Linked DNA regions of Oreochromis niloticus. The protein of the gene in region 1 binds, or shares a complex with, the protein of each later gene. Links are inferred from orthologs where the notes say so. Each region holds a gene or a part of one and is shown on either strand. Other genes may lie near its edges.

Region 1 (7,167 bases):
CTTTGAGACAAAAACAGCCCTGACAATAATGAACTCAAGCTCTGTGGGACGACTCAGACCATCACCCTGATCGTGCTTTTTGTTTCTTTATTTTAAAGTTTTATTATATTGTTTGAATTTAACTGTGGGGAAACACATAGTTCCCTGCATGTTAGTAAAAGCAACAAAAGGATATATCGCTCATAAATGGTGCGGGCTTTCTCCACCTCCTTGTAGCGCAGCTCAAAGTTGATGTAAGAGTGCCAGGCCTGCTCTTCAGGCTCCCATTCCATCCATCGCTCAAAGACCTGCCTGCAGCCGGCGATGTTTCCCAGCATCTCCTCCATGTAGGTGTACTTGTACCTGTGCAAAGGAACAGCATTCAAAATATTACACACTTAATGAAGAAACACAGAAGATTTAAGAAAAACAGACAACAAATGCACAGCAAAGACTCTCCATAAGAACTGTACAATCACAAGCAGACTCACACTCACACACGATGCACTTTTCAAAGTTTAAAACACATCATTTACATCAGGTTACATTTCAGCTACTCTATTGTTAGATAAGTGTCAATAAAGTATCAGCCAACAAATACATTTATTCAATTTTTAACTACAGAAAAGGACTGAAAATTGTGACTTGTGCCACTTGCCAAAGCCTGCTGATATTTTACAGACAAAACAATCAAGAAATAAATATGGCGATTAAATGATTTTTAAGTCCTACCAGAACTGGTTGACTCGTGGGAGGATGGTGATGGCTCTGTCCCAGATGTTGCGGGCGTGGTTCACCTGGCGGCTTTTCATCTCCATCTCGGCGTACTTTAGCCACAGAGTGATGTTGCGATGATCGACATCTAGCGCCCGCTCGTAAATGGAACGAGCTCTGAAACGAGGGTAACCGTTGGTGAGGTAAAAGTGGACAGTGCAGACACATGGGCATGAGAAAAAATTCTAAAACATTTACTAAAATGTTAAAAGATGTGAAGACCGATTCTACTTATTTCAGTACAACCAAGACTAAGTTGTTTGTGATTGACCCCGTGCGAAGTTGTAGCCATTTAATATTCTGACTTTCAGCTGTTTTTGCTTCAGTACCTCTGGATCTCCTTCAGACTTTCCTCCCATTGTGCGTATTTAATCCAGTTACTGATGACAGTCCGGTTCTTCCTGATGTTGTCCTCAAAGCTCTGAAAGAAAAAGACATTCATCATGTCCAAAAACTATAAAAACATATTTTTGTGTGCTGGAAACATCTCAAATTTTCCTGTTAGATTAAAACTACAAACACATTTGTTTAACTAAACATAACTATTAGAGCAGAAGTAAAGCCAGAGAGCATCACACCTCAAATATATTTTATGCTGGCTTTTTAAACATAAATAAAGTGGGGGAAAAAATTCTTGCAAAAATGGCAGTATGAGTAAGAGCAATGTGAACACTACCAGGAGAGAAAATATGATGGAAGTGCTTACCTTCCTCTTCCTCAGTTTGTAGTCATTGAGCTCCTCCTGATCGGTGATCTTCTGTTTCGGTGGTGGTGGCAGGAGTTCGAGCTCTCTCTCTTTGGCTTCCCTTAGCAGCTGCTCTGCAGTAATCTGAACCTCTGCCGGAGCTTTATTCTTCACCTAAAACACAGCACAAAATACAATTAGCGTGAGCACAAAATTAGTCTTTCCTCTCTTCCCCTCAACTGGTCACAGCAGACAGCCTCTCCCTGAACCTGCTTCCTGTTAAAATAGAGTTCTTCCTCCCCAGAGACACCAAGTTCTCCTGATTGTTGGAGTTTTTAATCGCTTATGTTACCTTACAATATAAAGCACCTTGAGGTGACTGATCATCATCTTATTCTTCTTTTGATTCCCCCCTTTAGGAGTCACCAAAATTTATCCCCACTTCACCCTATGCCAGCATCATCCTCTGTCATACCAACCCTCTGTATGTCCTTCTTCACTGCATCCATCAATCTTTTGAGGTCTTTCTCTTTTCCTCCTGCTTGCCAGGTCCACCTTCAACATCCTTTGACCAGTATATCCATTAGCCCTCCTCTGCACATGTTGGAACCATCTCTGCCTCTAACTTTGTCTCCAAAGCAACTGGTGAGAGCTGTCCCTGACCTTCAGCTCGGCCTCCTGTAAGTTTCAGTCTCCAAACCATGCATCACTGCAGGTCTCACTACCATCTTGTAAGCTTTCTCAGTTGCCTCTATCATGTCAGAAATCACCCCTGACATTCGTCTCCACCTGCTTGCACTCTCTTCTTTACCACTCTCGCACACTGTCCGTTGCTTTGGATGGTTCACTTCGGATACTTAAACTCATCCACCATCAATTCCTCTACTCCTTTCAGCTTCACTGGTACACCCGCCTCCCTCTCATTTACACACATGTATTCTGTCTTGCTTCCATATACCTCCAGAAGCTCCCTACTCTCAATACAGATCACATTGTCGCCTGTAAACACAATCACAGTCCACTCCTCCTTCACATACTATTACTATAATAGTCATTTTTAAACACACTTCTAACTTTAAAGACACAAAGAAACTCAAATGTACCAGATTTTAAATCCTAATATAAACAAGACTAAATTAAGGACACGTAAAACACATGGAAGCCAAAACAAAGCAGAGCGTGGTGAAAGTTTACAGCTAATGTAACTTGTGTGAAACTCAGACCACAGAGCTACCTGTTCATCAGGTAAAATAGCCCTAAATGTACTACAGTGTAGCACGTTTTTGTGAGTAACTTTGGCAGTGAAAAGATGAGATTAGATTTTAATTTTGCTCCGTTAGCCCGAGTTCTATGTTAGCATTAGCCTGGAGCGCTGATACTGCTCTGTTCACTTACCTTCGCCACCTTCGGTATCCGCTGTTTGCCTGCTGCCGTAGACGCCATTTTGATGGCCGGTTTAACCAACAAACAACGTTAAAAACCTCACTTAAACTGTCACGACAACTACCAAACGGCGCAAACAGGCAGCGAAACGTTTCCGTCTCACCGAGCGCCAGCCACCGTGACAGTAACCACAATGCCCCGCGTCTTCTTCTTCTTTTTCTTTTTCTTCAAAACGCAGACGTGTTGCTGCCATCTACCGTTTGTTCGCCAATGCCATTTGAATAATTTATATATACGTTGTCCGATATAGAGAATATATTCACTATAACAGACTTCAGTTGAGTCCATTTGTCCAGTCTGAGGAAGTTTTGATGAAGACTAAAAACTCGTTTCTAGACTGATTTTAGTGCTTTAAACAGTTGCTTCATGACTTCCGGTTAAACCGCGGGAGTTCTGGCGTCACGTTACTATGGCAACTGGGTTTGAGCTCTTCATAGGTGAAAACAGTGAGCTGAATTCAGTTAAATAAATTTATATTAAATTTCACCTTCTTCTATCCACCAGCCTGATATTACAGTTTATTACAAAAAGGCAGTCTTTCGTCTGCTGTAGTTTTATTAGTACTATTTGTCCATATAATACGGGTGACGATGCGGACTGTAACCTCAGACAGCGCCCGGGAGGTAACGGTGACCGTGAGGAGAAGCGAGTCCGCGGACGCTGAAGAGATCGACGGCCTCATTAGTCCCTCTGCGCAGGCGGTGTTTGGAAGAGTCAATGTTATTCATCTGCTGTGAGAAAAGTTTTTCTTCTTAAACATCTCAGCGGCAGAGTTTAGACCGTAAACTAGATGCTCTCTGAACACAAACACACCTACAAGCTGGATAAGTTGTTTTAATCACTGTTAGATAATTTGTTTGAATTATGTAGTCTCTAAAACGTCAAAAATAATTATAAACTTCCATGAAAACGCAAGAATTCTATCATCTCTTTAATATATAGCTATGCTATAATATTACTTTTGTTCTCCACCGACTGTATGGTGGTTTATTCTTGTCTTAAGTGTAATGGTTATATTGTTTTCACAGTATCTATTCTTGTTTATTTGCTCACATCAGTTTTCATGCTGAGAACTGTAGGAGAATTATAGTGTTGGAGGGGATGGGAGTTAGCTCTCGAAAATCTCTCTGAGAATGATTGCAGTCAGTCAAAGTCAGACTACAACTGTTTGCAGGAAGGTTGCCTCCCATCAGGCGACCTGTGCAATCGCCTGGTGATCAAAAGTGATTGTAAGAGCTCCAGGCAATCATTTGTGAAAAAAATTCAATCATAAGACAGCCATCTAGTTTTGTTTTGTTTTTTTCCTTTGGAGGGTGTGTGTGTGTGTGTGTTTTGTAGATGGTTTGTTTGTTTGTTATGTTTTGTAGATCATATGCTTTGTGATGAGGAATTAGCTTGCTGTGAATTAGGAGGTAACTTTGTGTTAGATTTTGTTTCTATTTTTATTACGCAGTTGAAATGTAACATTATGAGAGAATGGTGGTGTGTGGGCTTACGCCTGTTGTTCATAGTATTCAAAGAATATTTTAATTTATTTAATAAAATATCAATATTTGGTTCCCTCTATCAAAACAATATTGCCACAGAAAATTTAGCAATAAGATAGTATGCTGATTTTTTCCCCACCTCTAGTTCTAAGGGCAGTGTGGTCTCTGTTATGGGGGCTTATACATCCCCAAAACACCTCAACTAGGAGGGATTCACATGCTTTAACCACCTTAACTGGTGCTCTTCTCTCAGCTCTCCCACTTCCACCTGACGGTCATAGCAACTGCTTCAAACTGCTTCTTTCAGTTTTCCTTTGGAGGATCTAAGAGGACCAAGTTGCCTCTGAAAACGTGTGGTGGATGCAACTCTCATCACAATTATGTGGTGATTGATGTAGACGTCTGTGCTCTCAGTTAATTTCAAACACTTACAGAGACCATCACTGAGCTTTCTTGTCATGTTCATTCAGAGAGAAAGCTAACCTGGCTGTGACTCTGACCAATGAAAAGGGCGACATCCTAGGCCACGCTTCCTTCTTTGATCACCCTATTGGAGATCTGGTGGATCAGACGCAGTGGGAAGCTTTCCTGCAGGAACACTTCAGTGCTGGACAATGCACAGTCTGTACCTTTCATTTACTGATTTTAACATAAGGTTTTCGTTAAGTAGAGGCAATTAACATCACCTGGAATGAATGTGGCCAAGTGCCCATACTCTGCTTAGATGAAATGAAATGAAGTGAGCTCACACCTGCAGTGGATTAAACTGTTGTCTTTCTGCAGCCTCTCAACACACTTTTCCTCCACCTTTTTGTGGCACGGACGGATTTCACCACAGCAAGTGTGAAAGAGATAATGAGGTATGAACAAACAAAGACCCCTTTTTTAAAAATTCTTGTATCATTCGATAAGATTCATATATCAGTGCAAGGTAGATACTACAATGCACTTTGATTAGAAGCAAGCACAGTATGCAGGTGTCCTGAAAGGTGAATGCAGTATGTGTAAAATTATCATTTTTCTTGATGCGCTTTGTTTCGCAGGTCCATCTTTAACGCCATTCCTGAGCTTGAATACGTCTGTCTGCTCAGCCCACACGTTGGTGGTTTAGGTGATTTAGATTTAGCAAGTTAAAGTCTATAATTCACTTAAGCATTAATTTCCAAGAGACTCAGACAGATGTTTTTTGTGCTTGCAGAGCCGGCACTGGATGAAATATTTGAGCCGTTGGAGCGTCTGACCGACCCCGGGCCTCAGTGCTTGGCATTGATCTGCCACAGAAAAGCTCACTGTCCCCGGCCTCATGTGCGCGCAGCCAGGTGATTTCTACTGATTCCTCCCCAGGCTACTAAACAGTAGAGTGAATAAAAGAGTGTAGATGGATGTACTATAAATAAACATTTATTCACATCAATTTTGATGTAAGATGTGACGAAGAACTCATAAGAACTAAGATTCTATGAGCACAACAGTTTATTTCATGATTGAAATTACAATAGGCTATTAAATAATGCATAAGAGTTATGCCACAGAAGATGCAAGGACCAAGGATGTTTTTAGTGGTGTTAAACGTAGAACTGCCAGAGAAAACAGAGAAAATGCAAAACCCAGAAAGAAGGAACTCCAGGAGAACAGTGGAGGCAGCTCGTTACCTTTTCCAGTCACAAGGGGAAATGAAATAGCTTTCCTGATCCCCTAATTCTTGCCTTTGATAAGGATTTTTCTAAACCTGTCATAAAGTGCTTCTAACAAGGAAACAACTTTATAAGTTGATAAAGCTGATATACCTTTAGAGCACTTTGACATATTAGCAAGCTGTGATGGAAAATTCAACAGTAATTACAATGAATTTAGTTTTGAAAAATGTGCATATGAGAATTGTGACTGTTCTGATGGTGCATCACTTTGAACTGAGGGATGGTATTATCTCCATTTTTCATAAACTATCCTCTACTGAAGGACGTAATAAAGGAAGCCCTGAAGCATGTTTAATTTTTCATGGCTGTGGTTAAGCAGGGCTTATACAAGGTTGTGGGCATGGACACGGGCAAACACAGCAGAGTATTCCTTCTTGTTACACTTCCTTGAAGTCTGCCTGAAGGGCACTTGCGTAGTTTGTATATTGTAAAGGCACCTGGATGTTTGCCCAGAGGCTCACACTCACTGTCTGACGATGAAATTTACATCAGACACCAGTGGACTCACTGATGCAATATGTGAACATATATATATATATATATATATATATATATATATATATATATATATATATATATATATATATATATATATATATATTGGGAACCTCCCTGAGCAAAAGCGATCATTCGACAGCACACCTGGTAAAGTTAAAGCTGAATTTCTTTTCTTTTTGGCCACCAGGTGGCAGAAGAACTTTCTCTCAGTAGTAGGAAGCTACAGAGGGCAGCTCCACATGTTTTTTTGGTAGACTTTTTGCACCAGATACCCTTCCTGAGACATCCTAAAGGGATCTGGGGCTGTAGGTCTTTTGCCTGTCAGTTGAATGTGTAAACCACTACACTACATAGCTGCACTGAAATGTTAGCAATGAACTGCTTTATCAAACTTCCACAAGATATTACCTTCTTATTTGTGTCTACCTGATGAATTGTACCTTTTACAATCTTACATGATATTTTACGGTTGTTTTTTCCCTGTGTTGTGTTATCTTTATCTGTTTTCTGTGTCGTTTTGAAAAATGTACATATGTGAATGCATGAGTAATCAGGTCTGCCTACAGGTGCAAATGAATAACGTGAACTCAAAGCTAAATCTAAA
Region 2 (6,844 bases), on another chromosome or scaffold:
TTGGGATGTCTGGCAATTCAAAAGTCCCCCTAACCTAAAAAGAAGGAGCATTCTTCTTACTTACTATTTAGAATAGCCATCTCTTATTATTTTTCTCTGTTGTTATTCTTTTTTTGTCCATTCTTTTCTCTGTAGATACAGCACGTCTCATTAAAATAGGATTGGTCTGTTAGGTATGACACTGAAACACCGAGCAAAGATCAGTCAGATTTCTGTGGCTGGTACTCGTGACCCACATCATACCAGATCAACTGTACACACTTTTAACCGGGACTTTGATGCCAACACATTAAAGGAATTGTTGGGAGTAGAAATGTTAATCTCTGCGTGTGCTGACTGTATGTTAAACATGTATGATGTTGCAGTAAGAAAAAAAAAAGAGGGCAGACTTTATATATGCAGTAAATGCACACAAACACACTTAGGGTAAATAATAGCTTGGCCTGGTGAACTAATCAAGCACTAATGTCACAAACTCAGCTGTGGGAATGGCTGCATCTCAACAACCGCGACAGAGCCTGGATCCCGGATCGTGCAACACGATGCCCTGCCTGCACTAATGCACAGCCAGAGGGACGGTGCTGATTCAGGCTCTCTCCTCATTATCCGATCAGCGAGCAGCCTGTGAATCAGCTCTGACCTGAACAACATGTAAAGATCCAAAACACCATGAGCGGGGAGATCGGGCAGCAACTCGGACACGCCAAGAAGAAACTGCCCTCGAAGTGAACCTAATCAATGTCATGTTGTTCATTAGAAAATGGAGAAAAGTTGTTGTAGTCAGCATTACTGGTGGAAAGCTGTTTGAGATTTATTTCTGTCTTGTCCAGTTTGTTTGTCTTTAAAACGCTTAAATGATTAAATCTGTCTTAGCACAGCCAGGAGAAACTGAAAACAAAGGTGTTTTTGTGTCCCTGCTAATCCTTGTCTGTGTCCACTGTGAGAAGTTTTCTTTCTTTGCAGGCATGCTCTCTGTGATGTTGTGTGTTTTTGCCTCACTGTACATGCCACTAAAACGCAGGCAGGACCTTGGATATAAAGGTACTGGAATAAAAATGCTTGACTGTGAATCCATGTTGGAGTCCCTTTCTGTTTTGATTGGTGGTTTCTAGCACTACGGTGCAATAAATTACAAGAAATACAGCAGAGCTTAGACGCTGGATGCCACTTTTGTGAACGCTTTTTATGATTATAGTCAATTTGCAATTCAAGATGAGGAGTAGTACTATAATAAATTTTATGAGAACACAACAACATGATCAAAGCAGCATTTTCCTGCCAGTCTGTGGATATCACATAATTATCAAATACTCTAAAGTAGGATAAGGTCACTATAACCTAGTTATGTCAGACAAAGGAAAATAATCAGCAGCATTTTTTACAAAATGGGTAGTTCAAGTTATTTTAAGGCAAAAAAACCACCTGAGATGTGGATATTTGTGGCATTTTTCTAGATGTATACAGTATTAGGTTTTCTATCTTTGGGATGTGATGATTATTTGTGCAAAAGACGTTTGAGAAAAAAGCACCTAGGCCTCTGAGAACTTGTGATAACACGGTCGAAAAGTTAATTAGCCTTCAGTGAAATGAGCAGAGTCCCTTTTACATCAGGGATGCCTAATTTGAAAGGTTACAAAATTAATGCAAGGAGGTCATGAAGTGCTGAGAAAAGAGAAAAGAAAAAAAAGATTTCTGGGCTATTTTTAATAGTCTTTCTATATTTATTGTTTCTATATGAATATAAACATTGGTCTCATGTGGAAGCATGCAAATTAGAGCCTCTGGTCAAAAAGGATGGAAGCTGTTAAAGCTCTAAATATCACACGTGATGTAATAATGTGCAGACTGGAACCAGGAGGGTGTTACATTATTGTATAAAACTGGACTTACTGTGCAGCTGAAGAGCTCTCGTTGTGTGAGCTGTCAGCTCACACATTTACAGTGCTAACCTCACTGCAGAAGACAGTGATTTATTAGAGCCAATCAGTCAGAGGCCATCTCTGTAGTGCGTGGATGGTGGATGGAGAAGGATGGAGGGCCCCTGATGTGGGGAGGAGTCCTTGCACTGCCCCAAATGCCCTTGTCCAATTCAGGCACTGAAGCTCACCATGATGGAGGAGGAGACCTGCTGCTGACTGGCTTATCTTCCCTTCATCCCTATTCTGCAATTGATTTTGCAACACTCATCACTTGAATCACTTGAAGCTGCATTTCCTGCTATAGAAACAAACACGCAGGGGACTGTACTTTTAAACGACAGACAGAATTAATAGATTTACATCATAGCAAAAAAAGAAAGAAAAAGAAGCCCCGCAAGCAGTAAACGAGCATTTAAAAACAAACACTGGATAATTGAGTGGTTTCTTTAAGTCTACTGTCTCTATCAAACTGGGTGTGATGACAGAAGGTACGTGAAGGTGAACACGCACCTGCCCCCTCCTTAACCCTCGCCTTTCTAGAAATGTGGCCCTTTTTTCTGTAATATTTTCCATTTATATTGCTGCCATTGTTTCACTTTGGGAATGAGCGCAGGGGTGGGCTTCTTGGATGGAAAAAAAACAAACCTTGATCATGATCATACTGGTGAAAATATAACCCGAACAGCTTGCAAGGACAGGCTCCTTCTGATAAATACGGCACGTCGATGGTGTCGTGATGTATACCTGCAGACCGTGATGAGGTTTTTTCGCTCCACGCAGACGCTCCGAGCAGACGCCTTTTTCGATGTCAGACCCATAGCCATTGCTGTCTGAATACAGCCCGACTCCATCCAGCGGCGGCCCCGGGCCTCTTCGGGATTCGTGCCCAGGCCAGGACCTCTCCCTCCGTGGGCCCTGAGTCCTACAAACACCCGCCGTCCTCTGCGGGGAGTCACGGATGCTGCTACAGTCGCTGCTGGAAGAGGAGGAGGACGGGATCTAAGCGACTAGAACCAAGTTACACGTATTTATCACTGCAACTTCCGGTTAAAACTTTCAAAATAAAACTATCTTCCAGTTTTCATCACAGATTCATTCATACTAGAATTTCCAGTCTTCCGGTGTCAGGCAAAAAAAAAGTGATTGCTGATGTTTTTATGTGTTTGTATGTGTTATATCTTGGCTTACATTGGTAGATAGGCTGGGGTCAACAGAATTTTCAAAGGGCTAAATATGAAATAAAGAAATTACCTTTTTTGCAAGTATCTCGACTCAGCGTTATTGTAGCTACTCTGTGTCCTGCATTATAATCAATCCAGTCCTTTTTTGCTGCTTAAAATATCTTTTGTAGAACCGTTCTTTTACATTTGTCTGAATTTCTAAAGCCCTCTTTGACCAAACATGTTTATAAAAAGATATTTTTTAACACCAATTAGACTTTTTAATATCAATTAGACTTTTTACCTGGAAAAATAAAGGAAGTCACTATCTAAGAGTAACTTAGCCAATTACTGCCTGCAGCTTCTACCTTGTGTCTGGTCAGATACTTTTGCAATATGTTTGATAGATTATAGACCAACAAGTCATTTAAAACAGTTTAAATAATTAAAACTTTTTGACAAGTATCTAAATTCCCCTTTTGGCAGACGAATGTGTTTTGGCACAGCTCTAAAAACTTTACAGCACTTCATAGAGTTATAACGATTTCCAAGACATAACTTAAATTCTCATGAATTATTTTTAAATATGAAATAAGTAAATATCATTGAGCAACTTTTGATTAACTGGCTCGCAAAAATTGCAGCCACTTTCTCACTGAAGTATCACTGCTGCCTTTTTAAATCTAACTTCACAATGCCTAAGTAGGTGTGATTCTCCTTTTGACCAGTACAGGGACTAACTTAAGATGACTCCTAGACACTAGAGGGTGCTGTGGCGAAAGCAGATATTTACAAAACAGAGTCAAGATGGCGGAATCAGAGAAGCCTCGGGAGGGATCTTGTACTTTTCTGTTTAAAAAATCTAATAGGAAATTCTCTGGGCGAAAGAGAAAAGCAACCGATAGCGAGAAAGGTTTGTTATTTAACTCACTTTCTGATCATTTAAAGCCCAGTGAACTTCCGGTGTCGACAGCGCTCGAGCTTTTTAATGATCGACTACTTGTTTCTGTTCTCGTAGTCCTTTACAGATAACCACTGTGTTATTAACACGGTAAGAGGCAAAAATACTACATCTGATTCCAAAAATCGGAGAAACGATGTAAAGGAAGTACCGCAGATGATACATTTTTGTTCCTGTTATAAACAAATTTCACATTCGTGCCGCGTTTACGTTTCCTCGGAATTTGGAACGCTATATGCGCCTGCTGTTTCTTGTCCTCCCAGTTAACTCCGAGATTATTCTAAGATTTTGCAATTCTGCTGTCAGTTATTAGACAAGTTACTAGATTTTTTTTCACCAAATGTATCTCACTCATGTCCTTTTCAGATGAAAACAGTGATGAGGACCAGACCCTCGTAGTGAGAAAAGAAAAGAAAAAAACTCGCATCAACCCGATGATTCAGAGGGTAATTATGGGTTGTTGTTTTTTTAAATTTTTTAAATTTTTGTATATTTATATTTTTTAACATGTGTTTGTCGAAAATTGCGTTTTTCTGTCTTAATCACTGTGTACCTCAACGTGCACTGGAAATGGCAAGTATGTATCCAGAATCAGCTGGCATAGTCAGATTTGCAAAAGTCTAAATCTGCATTTAGATTCACAAGAGTACTAAAGTATTTAAAAGTGTGTTATGTTAATGCATATATAGATTTTTTTTTTTTTTTTTTACATTTAGAATATGGACAAAGGGTTTTATACACTTGCAAACCTGATATTTTTGAAAAAGTTTATAAATCTAATCATGCAAACACACATTTGCAGACAAGACTGCTATGACAGTAGCCTCAAATGAGACAGAGGTGACTGTTTTTGTCCATCCATCCATCCATCCATCTTCATCCGCTTTATCCGAGGCCGGGTCGCGGGGGCAGCAGCCTAAGCAGAGAAGTCCAGACCTCCCTCTCCCCAGCCACCTCCTCCAGCTTATCCGGGGGAACACCAAGGCGTTCCCAGGCCAGCCGAGAGATATAATCTCTCCAGCGTGTCCTGGGTCTGCCCCGGGGCCTCCTCCCGGTGGGACATGCCCGGAACACCTCACCCAGGAGGCCCCCCAGAAGGCATCCCTATCAGATGCCCGAACCACCTCAACTGGCTCCTTTCGATGTGGAGGAGCAGCAGCTCTACTCTGAGCCCCTCCCGGATGGCCGAACTTCTCACCCTATCTCTAAGGGAGAGGCCAGCCACCCTTCGGAGGAAGCTCATTTCTGCCGCTTGTATCCGCGATCTCGTTCTTTCGGTCACTACCCACAGCTCGTGGCCATAGGTGAGGGTAGGGACGTAGATCGACCGGTAAATTGAGAGCTTCGCTTTTACACTCAGCTCCCTCTTCACCACGATGGACCGGTGCAGCGTCCGCATCACTGCAGCCGCAGCACCAATCCGTCTGTCGATCTCCGGCTCCCTTCTCCCATCACTCGCGAACAAGACCCCGAGATACTTGAACTCCTCCACTTGGGGCAGGAACTCATCCCCGACCCGGAGTGGGCACTCCACCCTTTTCCGGCTGAGAACCATGGCCTCAGATTTGGAGGTGCTGATCCTCATTCCCGCTGCTTCACACTCGGCGGCGAACCGTTCCAGTGCGAGCTGAAGGCCTTCACCTGATGAAGCCAACAGAACCACATCATCCGCAAAAAGCAGAGATGAGATTCTGAGGCCACCGAAGCGAAAGCCCTCCGCCACTTGGCTGCGCCTAGAAATCCTGTCCATAAAAATTATGAACAGAACCGGTGACAAAGGGCAGCCCTGGCGGAGCCCATCACCCACCGGGAACGAGTCCGACTTATTGCCGGCAATGCGAACCAAACTCTTGCAACGGTTGTATAGGGATCGAATGGCCCGTAGCAATGGGCCAGACACCCCATACTCCCGCAACACCTCCCACAGGACACCCCGAGGGACACGGTCGAATGCCTTCTCCAAGTCCACAAAACACATGTAGACTGGTTGGGCAAACTCCCATGCACCCTCAAGTATCCTTGAGAGGATAAAGAGCTGGTCCAGTGTTCCGCGACCAGGACGAAAACCGCATTGTTCCTCCTGTATCCGAGGTTCGACTAGCGGACGAACTCTCCTTTCCAGCACCCTGGCATAGACTTTCCCAGGGAGGCTGAGGAGTGTGATCCCCCTGTAGTTGGAACACACCCTCCGGTCTCCCTTCTTAAAGATGGGGACCACCACCCCGGTCTGCCAATCCAGGGGTACTGCCCCTGATCTCCACGCAACATTGTAGAGGCGTGTCAACCAGGACAGCCCTACAACGTCCAGAGCCTTCAGGAACTCGGGGCGGACCTCATCAACACCAGGGGCTCTGCCACCAAGGAGTTGTTTAACTGCCTCAGTGACCTCGCCCCCGGAAATTGGCGGGTCATTCCCCTCATCCCCAGACTCTGCTTCCTCCTCGGAAGACATGTCAGTGGGATTAAGGAGGTCCTCGAAGTATTCCTTCCACCGCCTGACAATTTTCTCAGTCGATGTCAGCAGCGCTCCGCCAGCACTATACACAGTGCAGGTAGAGCACCGCTTTCCCCTCCTGAGACGCCTGACGGTTTGCCAGAATCTCTTCGAGGCAGTCCGAAAGTCTTTTTCCATGGCCTCTCCGAACTCCTCCCACACCCGAGTTTTTGCTTCAGCCACTGCCCGAGCCGCATTCCGCTTGGCCTATCGATACCTGTCGGCTGCCTCCGGAGTCCCACAGGCTAACCAAGCCTGATAGGACTCCTTCTTCAGCCTGGTGGCTCCCTTCACCTCTGGTGTCCACCAT
Region 3 (7,085 bases), on another chromosome or scaffold:
TTTGTCTCTTTACTGAGGAACAAGAAAGGGACAATAATGTAAAAAAACAAAACAAAAAAACAAAATGTAGGGATCATTTTCTTCAGGTGCCTCCTCCACTCTCATACTCTCTCCAAGGCCTCGAGCATGATGATGCTGTTTCCCCTGATGACCTGTGAGAAACAATACCACACAGAGTAAACACACTGCCATCATGACAAATGTCCTAAAGGTTTTAAATAAAGCACTGAGCTCTCCAAATCTAAACAGAATTTAGTATCTTGTTTATAGAAGGTAAAGCAAACCGCTTTTCTTGACATTTTAAACCTAAATTATACTGAACAGCTGAGCACTCATTCCTGTTGTTTGTAGTTCATGGGCTGGGGAGAATGTTTACTTAGTGCATTATAAAGTAAGTAAACATTACAAAAAGCAGGCAGGCACAAACTGCCCTAACCATCTCATGATGAAATTTATATCAGTGGGACCTGAGTGGACCCTACTGGACTCGGTGACGGTATAATTCCTGCTTCAAACACAGAATGATTTTGAAATAAATGAAAATGATTTCGTGGAGCAAACAGCAGCAGATGCAGGTATAACTAATAAATAATGTATGGTCTGTGTACACAATTCCACAAGTGTGCTATCGTGCAGTCCACCAAACAGCCCCAACAGCATGTCACTGGATGTTGATGACACATGTGTCGGTCAATAGCTCATTGGTTGACAAGTGGGCCAGAACAGGGGAGGGCGCGATTGTGGAGTTCAGCGGGAAATGGTATGACACAAATATGAAAGGGAAAAAAATACAGCATGAAAAGTACAGAGTGTGACTGCAGTGGACACTTTTCGTTGTTTTTGAAAACACTGTTCACTTCAACTTGAGAACAATTGAGAACTTTATACTTGGAACAACAACAGCACATGCAAGTGTGGCCCACACACAGGTTGTAATACATATTTGTTACACTCCATCAACAACAAACACTCTCTGCAGGCAGACTGTGATTGCCCAGGAACTGCGTTCATGCTACTACTGCTCAAGTATAAAACAAGCATAACAATCTGACGCTGTTCAGGTCATGGTTAATGTTACAAAGGACGAAATACTAATAGCACATGATATGCAACCAAAATGTACAGAAATGACTCCACCAATTCTCTTTGCAAATGGTGGATGGAAATTACTAACATGATGGAAAAGCAGAGCTTTAATCAGGCACAAAATATTTATTTTATTTTGTGACGATTGTGCAGATTTCTTTTTTTGCTTTTTTTTTTTTTTTTGCTGAAACAGAGTGTGACAAAAATGCAAAGGTTTCATGTGCAAAATATAAATTTTATTAATATAAATGGCCTGTATTTGTATAGCGCTTTACTTAGTCCCTATGGACCCCAAAGCGCTTTACACTACATTCAGTCATCCACCCATTCACACACTGGTGATGGCAAGCTACATTGTAGCCACAGCTGCCCTGGGGCGCACTGACAGAGGCGAGGCTGCTGGACACTGGCGCCACCAGGCCCTCTGACCACCACCAGTAGGCAACGGGTGAAGTGTCTTGCCCAAGGACACAATGACCGAGACTGCCGGAGCCGGGGCTCGAACCGGCAACCTTCCGATTACAAGACGAACTGCCAACTCTTGAGCTATGATCGCCCCCTACCAGGAAAGATTGGGCTGTTAATGAGAGCTCTTTACTGTGTGTTTAGACTGTGGCAAATATGAAGTCTGACACCATCATAACCAGAACTCTCTGGTAAATATACGGGCTGTAGTTGAGAGGAGAGCAGACTGCTGGAAGATAAAAATTGCTGTGCTTATATTAGGCGCACAAATTTTCTTTGGTGACAATACCAAAAATTAAGAAAGACAAATTTACTGACCACCATGCCAATGGTGTTCTGCTGTCCTCCAGGGCCCATCTCCAGACAGTCATCCACCACCAGGTTCATAAAAGGGTCGAACCCACGCAGGATGCCCTGTACGTGTCTGCCTCCATTCAACTTTACTGAAAGGAGAGAAAAGAAATCAATATGAAGAATTTCACAAACTGCTCAGTTTATTTATTTTTGGGACTGATCCATCTTCAAACTCAAAGTTTAGATTGCCCACATACTACCACGAATATTTACATACAGCAAAGTAAGACATCCATATATTTATGCTATCACATAACCTAACTTTTGAGTCCACATCTGTGAAAGGTACTTGACTTACCCAGTGTTGTAACCGAGGGTTACAACAAGCTTAATTTCAAACTTTTAAAGACCATAAAGACATCTCACAATTATAGTATACTGTCAATGAAAGTCAGTAGGGATGATAAGACCTGTGCAAGTTATACAATATATCAACATCTGCATTTCTAGCAGTACTTCCCAGCAACACAACACGCTGCGCGTATTAAAATAAATGTCCCCCCATGTGTGCTGCCTGCACTACATGTCTACCCTTTGTTATGAGATCCTGTACAAACAGTGAGCAGAGGTCATCGAAGAAGGCTTTGTGTACCAGGTGAAAACTGAAAGGTAATTACTGAAATTATTCAATAACTATGTTTTGATATTTCATGCTGTTGCTTAAAAACAACGAAACACAGGAACAGATTCACTCTTAACATTCTGGGTGCTTTTGAATCTGTGCTTGGAGTCATACTCACATGAAAGCTTCTTGTCCATGAACCTGGAAAAGAAAACCATCAGCATCGGTTACATGGTCACAGTTTCTTCACAAGTCGGTCTGGCAGCCTAGCTAATGTTAGCTTGTGGCTATTACAAACAATGTACCAGAGCTGCTATGCGGGAAACAAGAAACAGGTACAAAATAACCAGTGCGCGTTTATTTATCAAAGATCACTGACTTACTTCTTCAGCTCGGGTGGGTGTGCTTTGCTCATTTTATCTGTATTTTCTGAAAGTCGAAGAACTCGTTCGCACTCTTTTCGTTTCACGAAACCGCGGAAGGAAAGCGTGCGCCGACAACCGGAACTTCATTGGTGAACTCTCATACTGGACCTTCTGCTTTTTCCTCACAGCGCCGCCATGAGAACAGGAGGAAGGAGAGCCGGCTAGCTTTGAATTATATATATTAGTGGAAGAAATATTCAAATCATTTATTTAAATGCAAATATGTTGTGTATTCAGAGATGCTGTTCTGCATACCTTGGTTGTAACAAGTGGTAATTTGAGTTACTGTTACAGTCTGGCCTGATGAAGCACGACAACAAAGCATTTTCACCCAGAGAATTTTTTTTTTTCACTTACTGGATGTTTTCTCTTTTTTAGACCATTCTTTGTAAAACCTCGTTTATGGGTGGGTGAGGAAAATCCAGTGGATGAGCAGTTGTTTTGGTTTTTTTGCTATAAGACCAGGGGACCGTTCTTCGTACCTCGCTAAGTAAGTTAGCCGGATTTGATTGTTGACGATTTCGCGTGATCTTGGATCGTTCGGTTCTCCGAAGCTCATCTGGGACTTGCTGTCATAGCAACAGATCCGTAAGCGTAAACCTGCTCGGGAGCAGGTTTACTTTATGTAAACAGGATTAGATCGCGGCCACTCAGGTATGTCCGCTGCATGTACACGAAAGCAACAGCGATATTTCACCACTGTTTCTCCATAAATAAATATTATCAATGTAACTAAAGATAATGCAGTAGTTGATTCTTTTACTGATTGCATACAGATACATACAGGTCATTTCCTAAGAAAAAGGGAAATGTACTAGTAATCATTCTATTACACGTATTTGATTATTTCAGATGTAATTCGTATTTTAGAGTAGTAATAGTAAATTACTTCGTGTAATCAAGATGAGAGACCACGGCTATAAAAGCGAAGGTGGATTTGGGAAGTCTGTCGCAGCCATGTCCTGTCTGTTTGTACGCGAGCAACCCATTGCGGAAGGTGCAAGATTGATAAGGAGAGTTTCCAGAATTCAGCGTATATTGCGGGATTGACAGGATCCGTCCTGTCCTTCCTCTCTCTCTCTCTCTCTCTCTCCCTATATACATATGTATACATATATGTATACATATATGTATATGTATATGTATATATATATATATATATATATATATATATGTATACATATGTATACATATATGTGTATATATATATATATATATATATATATGTGTATATATATATATACACACACACACACACACACACACACACACACACACGAGGGGGTGCAGGACCACCACCTGTCTTTATTTGCTCTGCCCTTTTCTTGGTTGCTGTTATAAACAAACAAACAGATTATTTCAGGGTCTCTTTTCAAGAGACTAAAAGCAATATAAGTGATAACTATTACCATTCTGTAGAATATTCTTATATTTCACTTTTACTTGTCCCCATGTTCTAGTGGGTCCTGTTGTGGCTCTAATGTGAAAGAGGATATAATGTAATATGATATAATAAATTATTTACGAGTTTAATTTGTCAGCAACTTTCTGCCAGCCCTCTCTCCTTGCTTTTGCAGCCTTTGCGGTGTTCCCTTGCGTTTTAATTAAACTCTGAAACTCCTGATATCCCTCAATCAAGAGTTCTTGCTCTGCTGCCGTAAAATACTGAGCGCGCGCCTTCGACATCTTCGCCGACCAATCAAAGGGTTGCCGATCAATGTTTCTACTATCGATGCGTAGCCCCTTTTGAGACACCCAGTGATCTCGCATTACTTCATCCAGCTATACTGATCGTCAACAACAGGTGTGTTCGGAGAACCGGATTAGCGAGCTCAAGGTTAGCGCGATGATTTGATCTTGGATGTGTCATTTGATCTTGGATGTAGTAAGCGAGGTACGAAGAACGGGCCCCAGGTGGGCCCAATGAGAACTATTATTTGTTGACAAACACAATGGGATATCCACTATCCATACCAAAGATCTAACTATGTGTTTGGCTATTATTTGAGGTTCAGCTGCTGGTGTAGTTTTTGTTTGAAAAAAACTACACCAGCTTTGTGTGAAAAAGTTTTTGTAACTTTAAAATTAATAGTTAGTTATGCCAATAATTAATATGAATTCATTGTCAAAGCTAACAACCGAATAAACAGTATATTTACTGCACATTTAATAATTTGAGGAAAATCATATTAGTGTAATTTATTGTTTTAATAATGAATCCAGTGTACATTATTGCATTTTATAACACTATTTTATTGTTCCTGCTTTAAGAGAAATGTGTAAGATTCATGGCCATTAGTTGTTACACTGTTGACTATGTTCAGAATACAAATGGAAGAGCTTTTAGCTGCGACCTGCAACTTCAATAATAATTTATATTATCTGAACCTAGAAACTAGCTAAAAGTCATTAAAAATAAATGTACATACATTTCCTCTTGCTAATTTCAACAGTTACCCATTAACTCTGCTGTATAGCTGCGGTAGAGCACGCAGTCAGTTTGAAACTGCGGTTTAGCTGCTCTGGAACAAACTTCTCAGATCCACAGTATGAAAAACTTCAATTAAATCACTAAAATTTCACAGAATCAGAACAGCAGCAGTGATGCAAAGAAAACATCTGACAACTGTTAAATTTTATTTGTCATCTGCAAAGAGCCATACACACCAATTTACAAAAGACCTCAGCAAAGTAGAAACTTCGAAACCTAGAAACATATCTTCTACATGTTCACAGTCGCATTTTGAAAACAGTAGTTGAAAATACTTTAGAAAAACAAAACAAAAAATTCATGTTGATTTAAGTTCATTCACCAAAGCGCACTTATTGAGCATCGCAGACACACTGAAGGGCTGCCGTCAGTCCATCTGTTTGCATAGTTAGAAAATACGACCCGAGCTCATGCAAGCTAAAAAGCAGGGCCATTATGAAAGGCATTGTTTTGGGTAAAGTTATCCATGAAAGCCAAGTTTGCTCACTGTATAGTTTACTGCAATCTTTCTTCCATGATAAAAATATTGGGAAACAGCATGTAAACAAACAATGTTACACACTACAATCTCATGCAGACCCTGGGACTGCATTTTATCTCTCGAGCAAAGAAATAAACTTCCACCCAGTGCTCTAAGTAGTGCTGCTAACACTCAGGTTTGACACACAAGACTGACAACACGACAAAATCAGACACCACAATCGATGAATAATTATTGCCAAATTTGTAAGAAAATACAGCAGAAAACATAACAAAAACTAGACAAGTAGCAAACAATTTGTCAGGCAGTGTTCTGGCCAGAATGTACCACAGTTGAGCAGACGGCCTAATTTCTCAAAAGAACAAAAAAAAACAAAAAAACAAAACAAACCCTGAGGCAAAGATAAGCTTAGCCCCACTTTGAGCATGCGAGCTAATCCCAACGTGTTTTTGGAAAATGGGGTTGATTTGAAATGAACAGCCCAAACTCTAAGCACTGCGAAGGTTATCCAAGGTCCAGGAACCTTTACACAGCTGATCTTCACCGTAGTAACAGCCATTTTCAGCTGCTCCCTTCTCACAAGGGATCGCCACAGTGGGTGACTCCACATGTTTGACTGGCAGAGTTTTATGCTCTTTTTATGGCCTCCCTAACACAACCCCAAAGGGGTTTTGTGTATCTGGCTGGAATTAAACCAGCCCAGTTGTTGCCAAGTGGTGAGACTATCTTCCAGGATCATAAGCTACCATTCTTAATTAAAAAAAAAAAAAGCAGACAATTTGTGGAATTTACCTAGTCTTTACAAGTTTTTATATCACAGAGTTGTATAAAAGTGGATACACAGACAACCACTGGTCTGAAAGAGGGATTCCTGGGTATAAAGGTTTGAATACTTTGAGTGGATCAAATGAATCATAATCAAACTGTTCTGGCTTCTATAGTTTTCAATGTATTAGAGTGAAAATTTGCAGACAACAACAGTCCTTCACAGTAAAAATGTTAGCTTTATGTTCAATTTCATATCATCAATATTGCCGTAATAAAGCCGAGGCTCATCTTAAAGGCTGCTGCTAAACACATATTCTGTGTATTTCTTCTTTGTTGCATTTCACTACAATGAAACTTATTAATGCATAGCTGCTCTGCAAGACGCATCTGAGAAGATGTCCTGTTCTCAGATGTACAAACACTGATTAAACCTCCCTTTAAAGGCTGATGTGA

What was found. The genes of interacting proteins can lie anywhere in the genome.
Region 2: crnkl1 (region 1) and rnf113a share a complex: the UniProt entries of both Homo sapiens proteins name them as parts of the minor spliceosome. The link is inferred for Oreochromis niloticus from reciprocal best matches to the Homo sapiens genes CRNKL1 and RNF113A.
Region 3: crnkl1 (region 1) and snrpg share a complex: the UniProt entries of both Homo sapiens proteins name them as parts of the minor spliceosome. The link is inferred for Oreochromis niloticus from reciprocal best matches to the Homo sapiens genes CRNKL1 and SNRPG.

The regions. Positions count from the first base shown.
Region 1 is NC_031980.2:23,432,527-23,439,693, reverse strand, and holds the start of crnkl1 (crooked neck-like protein 1), read right to left. Parts: upstream 3,026-7,167; 5' UTR 2,882-3,025; coding exon 2,834-2,881; intron 1,613-2,833; coding exon 1,460-1,612; intron 1,175-1,459; coding exon 1,083-1,174; intron 871-1,082; coding exon 712-870; intron 343-711; coding exon 176-342; intron 1-175. Other genes in the region: cfap61 (cilia- and flagella-associated protein 61), read left to right, coding at 3,472-3,614, 4,839-4,989, 5,152-5,228, 5,412-5,479, 5,567-5,687. UniProt on the Homo sapiens protein: Involved in pre-mRNA splicing process. As a component of the minor spliceosome, involved in the splicing of U12-type introns in pre-mRNAs.
Region 2 is NC_031969.2:28,812,690-28,819,533, forward strand, and holds the start of rnf113a (E3 ubiquitin-protein ligase RNF113A), read left to right. Parts: upstream 1-3,834; 5' UTR 3,835-3,886; coding exon 3,887-3,992; intron 3,993-4,406; coding exon 4,407-4,486; intron 4,487-6,844. Other genes in the region: rundc3aa (RUN domain-containing protein 3A), read right to left, coding at 2,664-2,770. UniProt on the Homo sapiens protein: Required for pre-mRNA splicing as component of the spliceosome. As a component of the minor spliceosome, involved in the splicing of U12-type introns in pre-mRNAs. E3 ubiquitin-protein ligase that catalyzes the transfer of ubiquitin onto target proteins.
Region 3 is NC_031984.2:33,153,296-33,160,380, reverse strand, and holds the start of snrpg (small nuclear ribonucleoprotein G), read right to left. Parts: upstream 3,011-7,085; 5' UTR 2,883-3,010; coding exon 2,851-2,882; intron 2,669-2,850; coding exon 2,646-2,668; intron 1,995-2,645; coding exon 1,870-1,994; intron 153-1,869; coding exon 102-152; 3' UTR 1-101. UniProt on the Homo sapiens protein: Plays a role in pre-mRNA splicing as a core component of the spliceosomal U1, U2, U4 and U5 small nuclear ribonucleoproteins (snRNPs), the building blocks of the spliceosome.